Linked DNA regions of Alligator mississippiensis. The protein of the gene in region 1 purifies or fractionates together with the protein of each later gene. This does not show direct contact. Links are inferred from orthologs where the notes say so. Each region holds a gene or a part of one and is shown on either strand. Other genes may lie near its edges.

Region 1 (7,091 bases):
GGGGATTCGTTTGGAAAGAGGTGTCTTCTAGAATCCAACTCAACTCTTCTTTTAGGGAAGATGCACTGAAGAAACTTGCATGAGTATTAAAAACTGCTTTAAATAAAATCCAAGATAAAAAAATCTGTGGCAATACCAACACATTGCTAATTCATGCTTCCAAGTTTCTACCAAGACTGCTAACTAAATTCACGCCAACCAGCAATCAGACCAACATCTGTAGGAAGAAAAAAAATGTGTCTTCAGCTTACAACAAGGAAGATACAAAACTGTACCTGGTTGCACAGTTTGCCTGTGAAATTATGTATAAAAACACTGGTTGGGGAAAGCAAAGCCACTGTGATACACTGGGTTATTTTCCATAATGTGAACACACTCAAAGAATCAAAACCTTCATAAAATCAGTGACGTATATGTTCCTTTGATTTTTTTTAACTGAGAGCTAGCAACATTTTACAGTTTTGTCATATGATCTATTCTGCTACACGAAAGAATGAATCGTTTCATGAGAAATGAGTAACGCAGAGTTGCTACAACAGTATTTTATAGACAGAAACATTCTTAGCAGATCCTAAAAGATCAGAATTGTGATCACAACAAATTGCTGGCTCCATCTCTAAGGATGCAACAGATTTAACTCAACTTCTTACAGCACAGGTGGTAACTTAAATGGGAGAAGCTCATTTCTGGAGCTTCTGGCACAGTAAAACTCAATTTACCTACATTTTTTCTAGCAACATTAGCAGAGACATATTACAGATTTCCAATGGTCCTGAAACACGGGCTTTTAAAATATGGATCTTGTTTAAATCAGATATCAGATTCTTAAAGGAATAACACCTAATTTTTAAATGGCATGAGAAGAACTTAAAGAGCCCTACCCCATTTAAAAAAAAATGCTGTTCTTCCTTAGGTTTATATTAATGTCTAGCTATTGCTAGATTCAGCAGGTTTGGAATCAAGTCTTTTCTGGTGAATTGTATATCTATCTTGGACTCTTAGGGTATGTCCTCACTACACAGTTAAGCCTCTTACAGGGTTTTTCTTCTAACCCCCTATCTGTCCACATTAGAAAACCTGTGATCCAAATCTGGAAACTGTTTTGAGTCTGAGCTTGCCTTTCCAAGAAGAGGTGTGGGTTAGAGAAGTTTCTGCTTTAGCATGAGCTGGAAGCTATCTATTTTGCTACAATAATACAAACAAAATCATTTAAGTGCTAACAGTCCACCAATACCCTTTATACCCTTTCCCACAAGCACCCCAAAGAACAGACACGTGAAGCAACTGATAGGGGGAAGGATGCCTAGAGCAGCGAACACTGGGATTTGTCCCCAGATACACACAGACCAGTACGGAAATAGGAAAACTCAGCTGTGCAGGAAGGACTTGGCTGGGGGAATGCTTGCAGGTGGCCTTGGCTAACTTGGGTGTTCAGACCTCTGCACTAATTACCAGGGTTAGCTTTGCTGGGAAGACAAACTTCATGGAGGTTGGATGCCTAACTTCCTTAGGGAGCTGTGAAAATCTCATCCCATCAAGTTTCCAAACCTTGGAGAATAAGTGCTTTCCCTCTTATACAAGTAGCTCATTAAAAATAAATATCACTGGCAAATGGATTTGGTTTATGCTAATAGGCTCCACTGTTATTTGTATTCCTCAAAACTAACATCTGGGTTAGCTTAATAGGGAGGGGGCAGGGCTATCTGTTTTACCAGATTATAGTGCCATAGAAAGGACATAACTCTCCCCACCGTTGTAGGCATTTCACCCTTATTGCTTCAGCGGGATTGTACAGGCACAGTTAAAACACTATGTAGATGCTAATGCATAATACATGTATGCTTGTCATATACAGTAAGCCGGAAAAAAAAATCAGCCTGCAGAGAAAAAGGTGCAACTCCCTTAAACTCAGTGGAAATGAATTCGCTTGTATCAGGCCTGAATTTGACCAGTATTTATGCCTCATAATTTAGCATTCAATGCCTTCAAAGCTCAGACTTCAATTTTGAGAAGAGAGTGCTTTAAGCTCACAGCGAGCAAAAGGAAAGCAGTACAACCAGGTAAAGAAACCTCTCATTCTGAGCAATCCTTCTGTGCTTCCTCCAGCAGAACCGGTTCTTCAAAGGCACGCGGAGAATTCCCAAGTGACTGAATGCTCCGAGGTGGCAGTTGTCAAAAGAAAGAAGGCTCCCCTGACTCTTTCACTGCTCCTGGTTGTAAAGTATGCCAGCCAACATGCAGCGCGCACATCCTTCAGCGCACAGAAAACAGACAGAAGCTACTGACATTCACAACAGACTAGTGAGAAACTACCAAGAGTTTACAAATTTTCAGACATCCAAAATGCTAAGTAGCCATTTCTTTTCGGTGTGCTCGGCAAGGTATTTGAAGTGTTAAAGATTAGAAAACAATCAGGGCCTGTAGTAGAGATGGTATCTTTTATTAGACCAACACGATTTTTGCAAAAAAAAATAAAAAATCTTTAATTGTAAGCTTTCAGGAACAAGACAAATGTGACCAAAGCTTGCAATTAAAGAATTTTTTTTTTTTTTTGCAAAAATCTTGTGGTCTAAGAAAAGATATTGTCTCTACTATGAGCCCTGATTGCTTTTTCCTCTAGGCCAATACGGCTACAACCTGGATACCTAAAGACTACAAAGTAATTTTGAGAATGGGCTGTGAGGCTTACAAGTAAATGTAGTACCTTTGTAAGAGCAATGAACTTGGCATCCAGCCTCCAAACAGCCAAAAAATACAACGTTCAAGCAACACATTCATTTGAAAAGCAATGCCAGATGCTTAAGTTCCCTTTTTTTTTCTCTTCTGAAAAGGGCTTAAAATTAACTGCCTCTCCCCAAACAGACAGAACACAATGATCTTAAACAGTTTTTTTTAATCAGCTGCTCCATGTTAGCTTGAAAAACACAGCGAAACAAAATGACGTATGGCAAGAAGTGAAAAACTTCCAGTCTTTCTTTACTAACCTTATGCCCCTGTGCACGTAGGTGCCTCATGGTGCCGTTTAAATGAAAAATCTCCTCTCCTATGAAGTGATTATCCAGGACTGTGTTACTATGAAAAAAATAACCACAGAGGAAATCTGCACAGACAAAAGCTGTGTCTTCCTAAGTGCTTCAGTTCAAGTATTCAGGCTGGCTCCCTAAAGGCAAGATGAAGTGAGACCCAACCCACAAGGCACTTCAGCCTATAAGAATCACTAATGAAGTGAAAACCACTCCCATATGTTAAACTGAATATTAAGAAACACACAAAGGGGGGCGGGAGGAAGGGCAGGATGCGGCGGGAAAAAACCTCACAGGCACGGACTGAGCTAATGATTCCTGCTACATCTTTATTTTGTACAGTATCCGACTTGTTACAGTATAACAAACATTAGAGACACATTCTGCTCTTAGTTATTCCAACTTTACACCAGTATAAATATACGTATTCACACTGATTTACTGAACGTACTGGAGCAGAATTTGGGCCTTACAGAGTGACCTTTCCCTCCTTCTATACTCTTCTCATATAAAAGCTACACATATTTTAAAAAGAAGACAATTTTCCTTCTGCTACAGTCCAGAAAGAATTATATTTGGATGAAGGAATAGAGAGAAAGTCGCTGCAACTGAACTGTGAATTAAATACATTTGATATTATTCTTAGCATAAGACAAGCTAATAATTATGGTCAAATTTAGGGTCTTTGGGTCTCCTAATGCTATCTTTTTTTAAATTTCTAATGCATATTACCAAAGCCCTTTTTAATACGGAGAGCAGCAAATTCTTTTGCGAGACAGAGAGAGAAAGCGACAGCAAGTATTAATGCTTATGGCCGTTCTGAACTGACATCTTGGTAAAAATGCCTGAAGCCTAATTATAGTAATGCAGTATCCAGCACTGCAGCTCCACTGACAAAAAGGTAAGGGTCTGAATTTTTTCCATGTAAAAATAAACCTAAGATAGTGGATACTACAATTCAGTCTTCAAGACTGCCTCTCTCAAGATTTCAGCATAGAGAGGGGTTCTGAGTTTTAGGACAAGACACTTCTTGAACTGAATTACAAAGTAGATAAAAAGCCAACCTTAATCACTACCAACCAGAGGGCAAATTCTGTTTCTGGTCTACCGATGTAAATTTAGCAAAACGCCACTTACTTCACTAGAGTAAATGAGATTACAGTAGGGCCTGGCCTTTAAGCAATGTTTTAATTGCCAACATAAGCTCAGCAGGACTCAAACTACATTAGCTGAACTGGTTTAAAGCAAGTCTTATCTAACATGCTTTAAACATTTTTTAACTTGCTCAGTGGTTCATATCTAGGGTGCCACAAGGACCCCCTTTGGGGTGCTACAATTTAGGCGGCCAAGTAATATTAGGCCTCTCTGATACAGCAGACAAAGCTGGATTGGGCTGTAGCCCCTCCTGGTCCGGCCCCCCTCATGCTCCTTCCCACAGTTCAGCCCTGCCTATTTCCAGGAGGAGCAAGGGGGAGGCAGACCAGGAAGGGCTAGAGCAGTGGTCACCAACCAGTGGATCTCGATCCACCAGTAGAAGTCGGAGCCTCTTGGAGTCGATCCGAGGCTAGGGTCGGGGGCTGAGTGCCTGCGTGCCCCAGACCAGCAGGTCAGTCCCTGGGGGAGTGAAGGGGCGGGGGCTAGATCGTGGCCCCCAGTGACGGACAGTGCCACAGAGGCAAAAGCAGGGGTAAGTTGAATGGGGCCCCGGCCGGGTGGGACTTACCTGCTGGGGAGGTGTGCCACCAAATCATTTTTTCTCCCTCTGCCTCGATCTGCACCCCCCTTCCCTCCCCACAGATTTACCTGCTATGGGCGTTGGGGGGGGGGGGAGGGGTTGATAATGGTGCACAGTAGATCTTGGCTTGCTTTTAAATGTCAAAGGTGATTCATAGATTCATAGATTGTAGAGTCAGAAGGGACCACAATGGATCATCGTGTCCAGCCCCCGGCCCCTGGCAGGAAAGAGGGCCGAGGTCAGATGACCCCAGCCAGGTGACTATCTAGCCTCCTCTTGAAGACCTCCAAGCTAGGTGACAGCACCACTGCTCTTGGAAGCCCATTCCAGATCCTGGCCACCCTTACTGTGAAAAATTTCTTCCTAATACCTAACCTAAATCCACTCTCAACTAGTTTACACCCATTACTCCTAGTCACTCCCTGGGGTGCCTTAGTAAACAGCGCTTCCCCTATTCCCCGCTGACCTCCCCTAATAAATTTATAGGTGGCCACAAGATCTCCCCTCAGCCGTCTCTTGTGAAGGCTGAAGAGATTCAGCTCTCTTGATCTCCCCCCGTAGGGTCTATCACAAAGGCCACTAATCATGCGAGTGGCCCTCCTCTCGACCCTCTCCAGATTCTCCGTGTCCCTCTCGAAGTGCGGCACCCAAAACTGGACACAGTACTCCAACTGCGGCCTGACCAGTGCCGCATAGAGGGGGAGCATCACCTCCTTTGTTCTATTAGTCATGCACCTGCTAATGCACAACAAGGTGCGATTGGCCTTGTCGATGGCCCTGTTACACTGCCGGCTCATGTTCATCTTGGAGTCAATTATGACTCCAAGATCCCTCTCTGCCTCCCAGCTGCTGAGAAGGACACTCCCCACCCTATAGGTGTGCTGGGGGTTCCTCCTTCCCAGGTGGAGTACCTTACATTTATCTCATGAACGACGTGTGGCCCCGGAGGCTGGGAGGCACAGTGAGCTCCCGCAGGCGGCGACAACACTGCCAGCAGCAGGAACGTGGTGAAGGTAAGTGGGGAGCTGCCGCAGGCAGCCGTAGCACTGTCAGCAGCTGGGCAGGGGGGCGGGGGCACAGCGAGCGCTATTAGTCGACGACCACCCGCAGACACCACCGGCAGTGTCGGCCAGCAGCAATTGCGGACCACCCGCAGGCGCTGACAATGTCAGTGGTGCCTTTTTACAGGGGGGACACTGCCACGCTCCAGGGGTGCACGCGCACCCACATGCACCCCCTACACATGGCCAATGGGTGATCTACTTAAAAGGTTGGAGACCACTGGGCTAGAGCCTGAGCTAGCTCTGTCTGTGTCAGGGTTATCAGAGAAACATAATGCAGTGGGAACATGGGCACATGCCACAGCCCTTCCTGGGCTGGCTGTGCACAGGCATGCAGGCAGTCTTACTGGAAGTGTGGCCACATCTAAAGAAGTGGAGGAGGGCAAAATCTCTGAAAAGGCTGAGAGCCACTGGTCTAGCCCATGTGTATGGGGATTATAGTCTAGAATCAAGTTTAAAAGCCCGTACTGGATCTCCTAACTGGGCTTGTTTCCATTCACATTTTTCAGCCCAAGTGGTTTTACACTGAGGTAGCCCATATCCACTGAACGCTGTGATTTAAAGAGGTTCAGCAAATCTGATTCTTGACTCATATGCAGATAGGAGCTCAAAGGCATAGATACTCCTATCAAGAAGAGGGACAAACCTCTAGACACGTGGCAGAACCCTACAGAAGAGAATTACGACTATTCAGAATGCCACCTCCCATCTCCATCATAAGGTAGAGGTAGGGTGCCGGTTGGGGGAGGGAAGCTAAATTATACAGTGGATCCTGGATTTTTCATTTAGGGGTGGCAGTGGGTTACCAAATTAAGGAAGAGCTTTGCTTGCTGTGGCTTTTACTTCAAAAGGGAATCACTGCTCCACTCGGCCAGAACGCTGACTTGGTCTCATGTGGCTGATCAGAGCAGTGATGCCCTTAGAAATAAAAGCTGCGGCAAGCAACCAGAACATCTCATGGCTCATTATAACCTACCTGATCCCTTCTAAACTCTGCACCCCACAGGTGTCAGTGACCCTCTCTTCTTTTTAATGCTCTTGAGGAGATCCTTCGTTCTGCAATTCTGGGGTCTGTTAGCTGTTCCTGGGAATGCAGCTCCTATTTCACAGCCCTGAAGCTTGTTTTTAACTCATTCCAATGAAGTTATATTTATTTTTTGCTTCAATCTTAAACTGCATAATACAGCCCTTGGCCCCTAGTATATTAATGACGCTCCTAGTTTATTTTTAATTGGAGAAAAATGTGTGTTGTTCTGTATGTGATGATGCACC
Region 2 (7,139 bases), on another chromosome or scaffold:
CCCCGGGAGCCTGGAAATTTGGCAGCCATGGAGCAGTGGCACTGCTCCCCTGCTGCTTAATTTCCAGAACTGTGGTGAGCCTAGAAGAAGCTTTCAGACTGGATACAAGGAAAAACTTCTTCACAGTTCATGTGACCAGACTCCAGAATAGACTCCCAGCAGTGGTAGTGCAGACACCTACCCTGGAGATCTTCAAAAGGAGACTGGACATATGCCCTGGCGGGGCTATTTGACCCCATCAGGCTTTCCTGCCCAGAGCAGGGGGCTGGACCCAATGATGTCATGAGGTCCCTTCCAGCCCTAAACGTCTATGAATCTGTGAGCCCCATAGGCTTGATAACACCATGTCACAGGCTGGATCTGTGCTGTGGCAGATTAGCAAGCCAAAGAGTTAAATCATTCCTATGGTTTGGGGCACAAAACTGCTCTAGCACATATGATGACAAACCAAGAAAACCTCTGCAAATTTTATTAGAAAACCCTACATCCAACTAGGTTCTTATTTCCAACTTCATTTTAAGACAAGAGAAGCAATGATAAAATTCTGTTTTAAGAGTAAAATCCTGAAACACACAATTTTACCAAACGATTTTTAACTACCAGCCTTTGGTAGTTCACTAACTCACCTTCGAACTGTTGGCAGCCTAGATTTTTTTTTTTTTTTTTTATCAACTGATAAGTTTAGGGGGGAAAAAAAAGGATCAGGAAAGTTAGGGGGATGTGCACGCGCACGCACATGGTGTAATGTCGTAGAACCAACAGCACTGGGGGAAGGACATGTCATAGAACCACACATTCAGGGTTTCCTCTGTGTGCTGGACACTCCCCATTGCCCAAAAGATGAAGACTGATTTAGAACAGTGGTTCTCAACCTTTTGGAATCTAAGGCACTCCTCAGAAAATGCCAGCTCTTAGTTTTCACTTATTTTTTTGACTACAGAAAAAAAATAGTAATTCTTCTGTTGTAAAGAACTCTGAAAGACCACAACAGGCCAGAATGCTTGTAACACTACTTGAAGTCTCTGGGATGAATCTGTGAATTGTGTCTGCACACTTAACAGTGCTAACATTGCATGGTACCCCACAGCACCCTGGCTGAGAATCACCAATTTAAAGGCTGGCAGTCAATGCCCCTCTCAGGCGTTTTGATTGTAGTTTAAGTTGCCATTCAACAGGTGCAGCCCAGGTCAAAAACACTGCAGTTGGCCCAACAATAAAACGGGTTCGCTTCCACTCAAGCAGAACGCATGCCTTGGCTTGCAATAACAAACTACTTGCATGCTTGAAAACTGCAGTACTTGCTCCTCATACCATTCATGACATGAGTTCAAACAACGCATTGGTGTCAATTCGCAAACAAATATGGTAATAAATACATTAGGTGAACAGAAAATAAGTGGAAGCAAGTGGTGGCTGACATGTCACCAAATTCAAAAGCCAAAACACCAGCAGCTTCTGTTCAGATAAAGATTGGCACATGAATGAGAACTATATTAGATTTGAGAAATCAGCAGAAGTGATGCCTTATTCCCTCACTATTTTTATGTATTAGAAGCAAGAAATAAAATTAGATACTTGCACGTGGCAAGAAAAAAACTGCTGAATAATGCAAAAACACAGCTGTTGTAGTAGGAAGCTGGTCCTGAACGTCTTTGCTCATCAGTTAAGGGAGAGCGTGATGGTTGCAGATACTGATACCTTTACAGGTTTTAAACCATAACAAGGCCTTCAACAGATTTTGAAAAGTAGACTTTCTCTCTCCATTGATGGACTTACAATACGGTGATCAGATTTACCGGAAATAACGTAGATATTGGTCTACAGTTAATAAAATACATCATTAAGAGAAGAATAAAGTCTCTCTTTACCCTGGAAAGGTCACAGCTCAATAATGCTTTGCGTCCACGCTGGACACGTTTGAGAAGTTAGGAGATGGTATGTAGAAGGAAACAATCTTTCCTGACTTCAACCAACCAGCTGATTTATTTCCTTCTTCCGCTATGCAATTAAAGCACAGGAGGGGTATTGAACATCCCATTTGCACCCTCAACACAACTGCCTACCGCAGGGAATTTGCACCAGGAGATATAAGGCACAGTAAAGATTCAGCTTGCGCGTCCATCCCGTCTCCCCAGCGCACGCCTTCGCCAGGCTACTTCCGCAGCCCTCCGAAAGCCCTTTAATTTTGCGAGGAGAGGCAGCGAACGTGCCCGGCGTAAGCAAACGAGGCACGATCCATTAAGCAGGCATCGCTGGCACGGACGCTGCGAACTGAAGACGTGCGTCGAGACTCAAAAAACGGAGCAGAAACGAGCCAAGCGACGGATTTTAAACACAAACCTATCCCCCACCTCTTCTATTTCACCACACCGAGTCCCAGGGGGGGAAAACCACATCCATTTGAGCTGTCCCTAGGCAGGAAACTCGGCCAACGCACAATCGAGGTTGCCGTCTCCTGGGGCGGTAGCCAGGTACGTTATCGGCGCTCGTCCCGCCGGGCGCGACCGCTGCAACCGCGAGGGAAGCACCCCGGCTGGAGAAACGCGCGGCACTGGACAGCCCTCGAATAAACCCCTCAGTCGAGAGCGTGCCCCCCGCCGGGGGAAATAGGAAGCGGAGGGCAGGAAACCCTCAGGATCCGCAGACTGTTAAAAGTGACCTTGGGTGGCTGCTTCCCTGACTACCCCTCAGTCTTCCCCTCTGTGAAACGGGGATAATGACGGGAAGCCACCAAGGGGAGCGCAGCGGGGTGCCTTTGGGCCGTCACCCATGTCTTTGGGGGGGGAGGGGAGGGTTGCACAAGAAGTTGCACAAGCGGGTGCAAGGGCGGGTGGGGGGGCAGCAGGGCGCTGCCCCACCCCCCACGGCTCCCTCCAAGCGGGGGAAGGAAGCGCTGTTTCCCCCTTCCCCGGGAGAGTGGGGGGGGGGGGCGGCACAGCCCATTCCCCGCAGCGCCCCTCCCCCACCCCGGGCCTGCACCCGCACAGGCCGCCCCCGCGCCGGCCCGCGGGCTCCGGGGCAGGGGGAGGAGGGGAAGATAGGGCGGGGGGGAAGGACACGGCACGGCACGGCACGGCTCACCCGGCAGCGGCGGCGGCGGGTCGGAGGTGGCTCGGGGCCGGTCCTGCGCGTCTCGGCCGCTCTCCGCCCGGGCTCACAAGATGGCGGCTCGCCGCGGCCACGTCAGTGCCAGCCCCGCGCGGGGCACGACGGGAATGGGGGCGTGCTCGCCTCGGCAACGGTCGCGGGGCGGTGTTAGGGGCGGGGCCTGGCGCTGCACCGCTACAGAACGCGCCCCGCGCTGGGTGGTGACGTCAGCTCGCCTTGTCATGTGACCCCCCCTCCTCGCGCCATGTGGTGGCATGTACACGCCTTGTCATGTGTGCCTGCCCCGCACTGTGTGGTGGCATGTACACGCTGTGTCATGTGTGCCTGTCTCACACCGTGTGGTGGCATGTACAGGTTGTGTCATGTGCCTGTGTCACACTGTGTGATGTGCACACGTGTCATGTACCCACCTCACGCCATGTGATGAGCACATGTGTACCTGCCTCGTGCCATGTGGCGATGTACGCACGTGGTGACATGTACATGCCTTGTGCGTACCTGCCTCACGGTGTGTGGTGACATGTACACGCCTTGTCATGCGTACCTGCCCCGCACCACATGATGCATACATGTCATGTCGTGCATACCTGCTTCATGTCTTATGGTGACGAGCACACGCCTTGTCATGTACACCTGCCTCACGCTGTGTGGTGACGTACATGTCTTATCACGTATACCTGCCTTGCGCCACGTGATAACGTGCACCGTGCCTTGCTGTGTGTACCTATCTCACACCGCATGTTGACATGCAAACACCTTGCCACCTGTACCTATGATACACACCAGAGTACCTGCCTCACCTTGTGGTGACATGCACACACCTTGTCACGTGTACCTGCCTCATAACGTGTGGTGACGTGCACACGCCTTGTGTGTACCGGCTTCACACCGCATGCTGACACGCACCTGCTGTGCGACACACTTATGATACGCACGCCTTCTCCAGTGCATCTTTCTCACACCGTGTGGGGACACGCACCTCCCCAGTAACATGTACCCATGACACATGCATGCTTTGCTACGTATACCTGTCTCGCACTGCGCGGGGACACGCACACACCTTGCGACATGTACCCGAGACACAGGCCTTGTTGTACATGCCATTCTTACACTGGTGACACACACATTTTGCAATAATGTACCAGTCTCTCACGGCCTGGTGATACACATCTGCCTTTTGATATGTGCGCCCTCACTTTCTTGGGAGCACATGCATTTCTTGTGACAGGGAACACCCTGGTAGCATGCACATGCCTCGTCATGTACTCATCTTGTGAAAGGCACACACACACACACACACACACCTTGCAACTTGTACCCCTTGTACTGACATGCATATATCCTGTGATGCGTACTGAACTTTTGCTTACATGTTGCATGTACCCACGTCACACTTCATGAGAACACGCTTATGACGTATACCTAACTTGCACCTCATACTGACATCTGCCTGCCTTTGGGTATGATCCTGCCTTACACCTCACAGTGACATGCTTTTCTCCTGATGATGGCAGGTACACATCTTATGGGCAGCCTAATGCCTTGTGCTGGCAATACACACACATTGTGACATGTCGTTAATTCACAGCTTGTGACACGTGCTTTGAAACACGAACCCATCTTGCAACCCGGGACGGCACACGCAAGCCTTGCAGTGACCTGATCCCACCTCGCACCTTGCAGTGAGACAGATGCGCGTTATGCCTTGGGATGACATGCATAAGCATAGGTGTGTGCTAAAAGTGTCATCACGTCTCCCAGTGGCAGGACATTGGTGGCACCCACATTTTGCAGTAATTCAGGCCTGGTTTTCCTAAGGTGCTTTGTGGCTGTGACGTGTATGAGGGGCTGGACTGGGGACAGGACTTGATGGTCCAAGAAATTATTTCCAGTCTTATGCATGGCCATCTCATCCTTTCTGGAGACATGTATGTGCTTCCTGGCATGACTTTGCCTCCCGCTTTGTGCGGATACAGATGTGTTTGACACCTTTGGGAAGTCAGTTGTATGCCTTATAACATACCCCTTTCACCCTTTCTTACAACGTGTGCCTGCCTTCTGGTGACACAAACATGGCTCACCTCGTGGTGACACCCTGACTCTGTGATGGATTGAACATGCCTCATGGTGCCTGGTGCACGCCTTGTGATGATGTGGATGAACTTCATGCCTTGGGGTGACAAAGACATGAGTCACAGCTTGGTGTGACACACACATGCTTTGTGAAAGTCTCCATCCGGTGGTGCTATGTACATACATGAACCTGCCTCGCGCTCCATAGTACCACGAATGTGTTTTAGGCTTTGGGGAAAAGTGCACACACTGCGATTTGTGTCCGTCTCACAACCCAATGGAAACATGCACACGCCTTCTGGTGACACAGACGCACCTTTTGTGACACAAGCTCTCAGTCTTCCCGATGCAAAGAATGAGCTGTCAAACCCAATGGAAATAACGAGAGTGAGTTAGTATAGACGCTTTAGTGACAGAAGAGGGTGAAAGGCAAGGACAGCACCTTTACGGACCAGAACAACCAGTGCGACCAGACAACCCAGTCGTCACACGGGGATCAGGGGAAAGTGGAGTTAGGAAGCCAGGCAGTAAGTGCAGAAGAGCAGGAGGAGGAGAGGATGGGTTGGTTGAGCTGCATGCTCAGGACAGAGGAGGACCAAGGTCCCAAACAACAGAGAAAGCAGGGGAAAGGGACATAAACACTTGCCTAATACAACTTTTTTGAGTAAACATTTTCTATAGTTGCTATAGCAATGTTACATGACTGCGGATGGGAGCAGAGGATGCCCATGTAATCAGGGAGAGAAGGGAGCATGTCGCCAAGATAAGCTGTCTAGGAAACAACTGTGTACAAATTTAAGAAGGCCTGACTTAATCGGCTTTCCCTACAGTTGTTACCAGTGCTCAGGTTACACATGAACACCTCAATAAAGGCAACAGCCCAGCAATCAGGACATTTGGGCTCTGATCCTACCACCTGTGTGAGTGAACTCGGTGCAAAGTTACTTCACTTTTCTGTGCCTCAGTTTCCTCATCTGGAGATTGCTTATTTCCCCCCAGAGGTGGTACAATCACCTATCCTGGAGATCTTTAAAAAATGACTTGATGTGCACCATCTGACCCCAGCGGTCTTTCCTGGCCAAGTGCAGGGGGGCTGGACCTCCCTTGAGGTCCCTTCCAGCCCCTAACATCTATGGATCTATGAAAGTGATCTGAAAGTGCTTGCAGGACCTCAGACAGGTGTCAGATACATGGAAAGCAGTACTGCTGGTCCCAAATGTTACATCATGAGTCAGGTTTAAAGAGATCATGAAATCGGTCTAAAAATAGTAATTAAAATGACAATAATAATAATAATAATAATAACCTTGAGCTTATTTGTATTTGCTTTCTAGGTTTGGTACCTTTAAGATACGTCTGGGTCACATTTCCATGCTGTTCTCTGCAACCATGAGGCCTAGAAACTTCTTTTTTTAAGAGGAAAGCAGAGATCTGAAGCATTCACACACGACTTCTGAACTGGGGCTTTCAGGAAACAGGGATTGTGGTGAGATTTGGCAACAACTGACATATAGTTATTAAAGAGAAAACAAAACCGAGAAGTCAAATTTCACTGTTGTTGGTGGTGAACGAATGCAAATAGTGTGTAAGTTGCATAAATAGGGGGAATTGAAGTCTTACTTTTAAGAACATAGCGCCTTCAAGACACATTTGGATGCTTATCTTGCTGGGATCCTATGATCCCTGCTGACTTCCAGCCCATGGGTCAGGGGGCTGGACTCGATGATCCTCCGGGGTCCCTTCCAGCTCAAATGTCTATAAAATCTATGAAATCATTGAACCGAGGAAACATTTTTTGTAAAGGATTATTTTAACTTTGTCACTGCTGTTTCACATGGTCATCAAAGAAACACGCCAGTTGTTTGATGTGTTCTGTGTTTTAGGAACAAGTCTCTGCATACTAGGATTGCCCAGCATCGGCTCGGGATGTGGCAGTAGGCCTGTAGGCATGGGAAGGG

The links.
Region 2: the proteins of PLD1 (region 1) and ARF1 purify together in Homo sapiens (affinity purification with western blotting; 3 studies listed by BioGRID, with this or other methods). This does not show direct contact. The link is inferred for Alligator mississippiensis from reciprocal best matches to the Homo sapiens genes PLD1 and ARF1.

What each region holds. Positions count from the first base shown.
Region 1 is NC_081830.1:75,709,696-75,716,786, forward strand, and holds the start of PLD1 (phospholipase D1), read right to left. Parts: upstream 3,164-7,091; 5' UTR 2,985-3,163; intron 1-2,984. UniProt on the Homo sapiens protein: Function as phospholipase selective for phosphatidylcholine. Implicated as a critical step in numerous cellular pathways, including signal transduction, membrane trafficking, and the regulation of mitosis.
Region 2 is NC_081828.1:214,222,231-214,229,369, forward strand, and holds the start of ARF1 (ADP-ribosylation factor 1), read right to left. Parts: upstream 3,192-7,139; 5' UTR 3,082-3,191; intron 1-3,081. UniProt on the Homo sapiens protein: Small GTPase involved in protein trafficking between different compartments. Modulates vesicle budding and uncoating within the Golgi complex. In its GTP-bound form, triggers the recruitment of coatomer proteins to the Golgi membrane.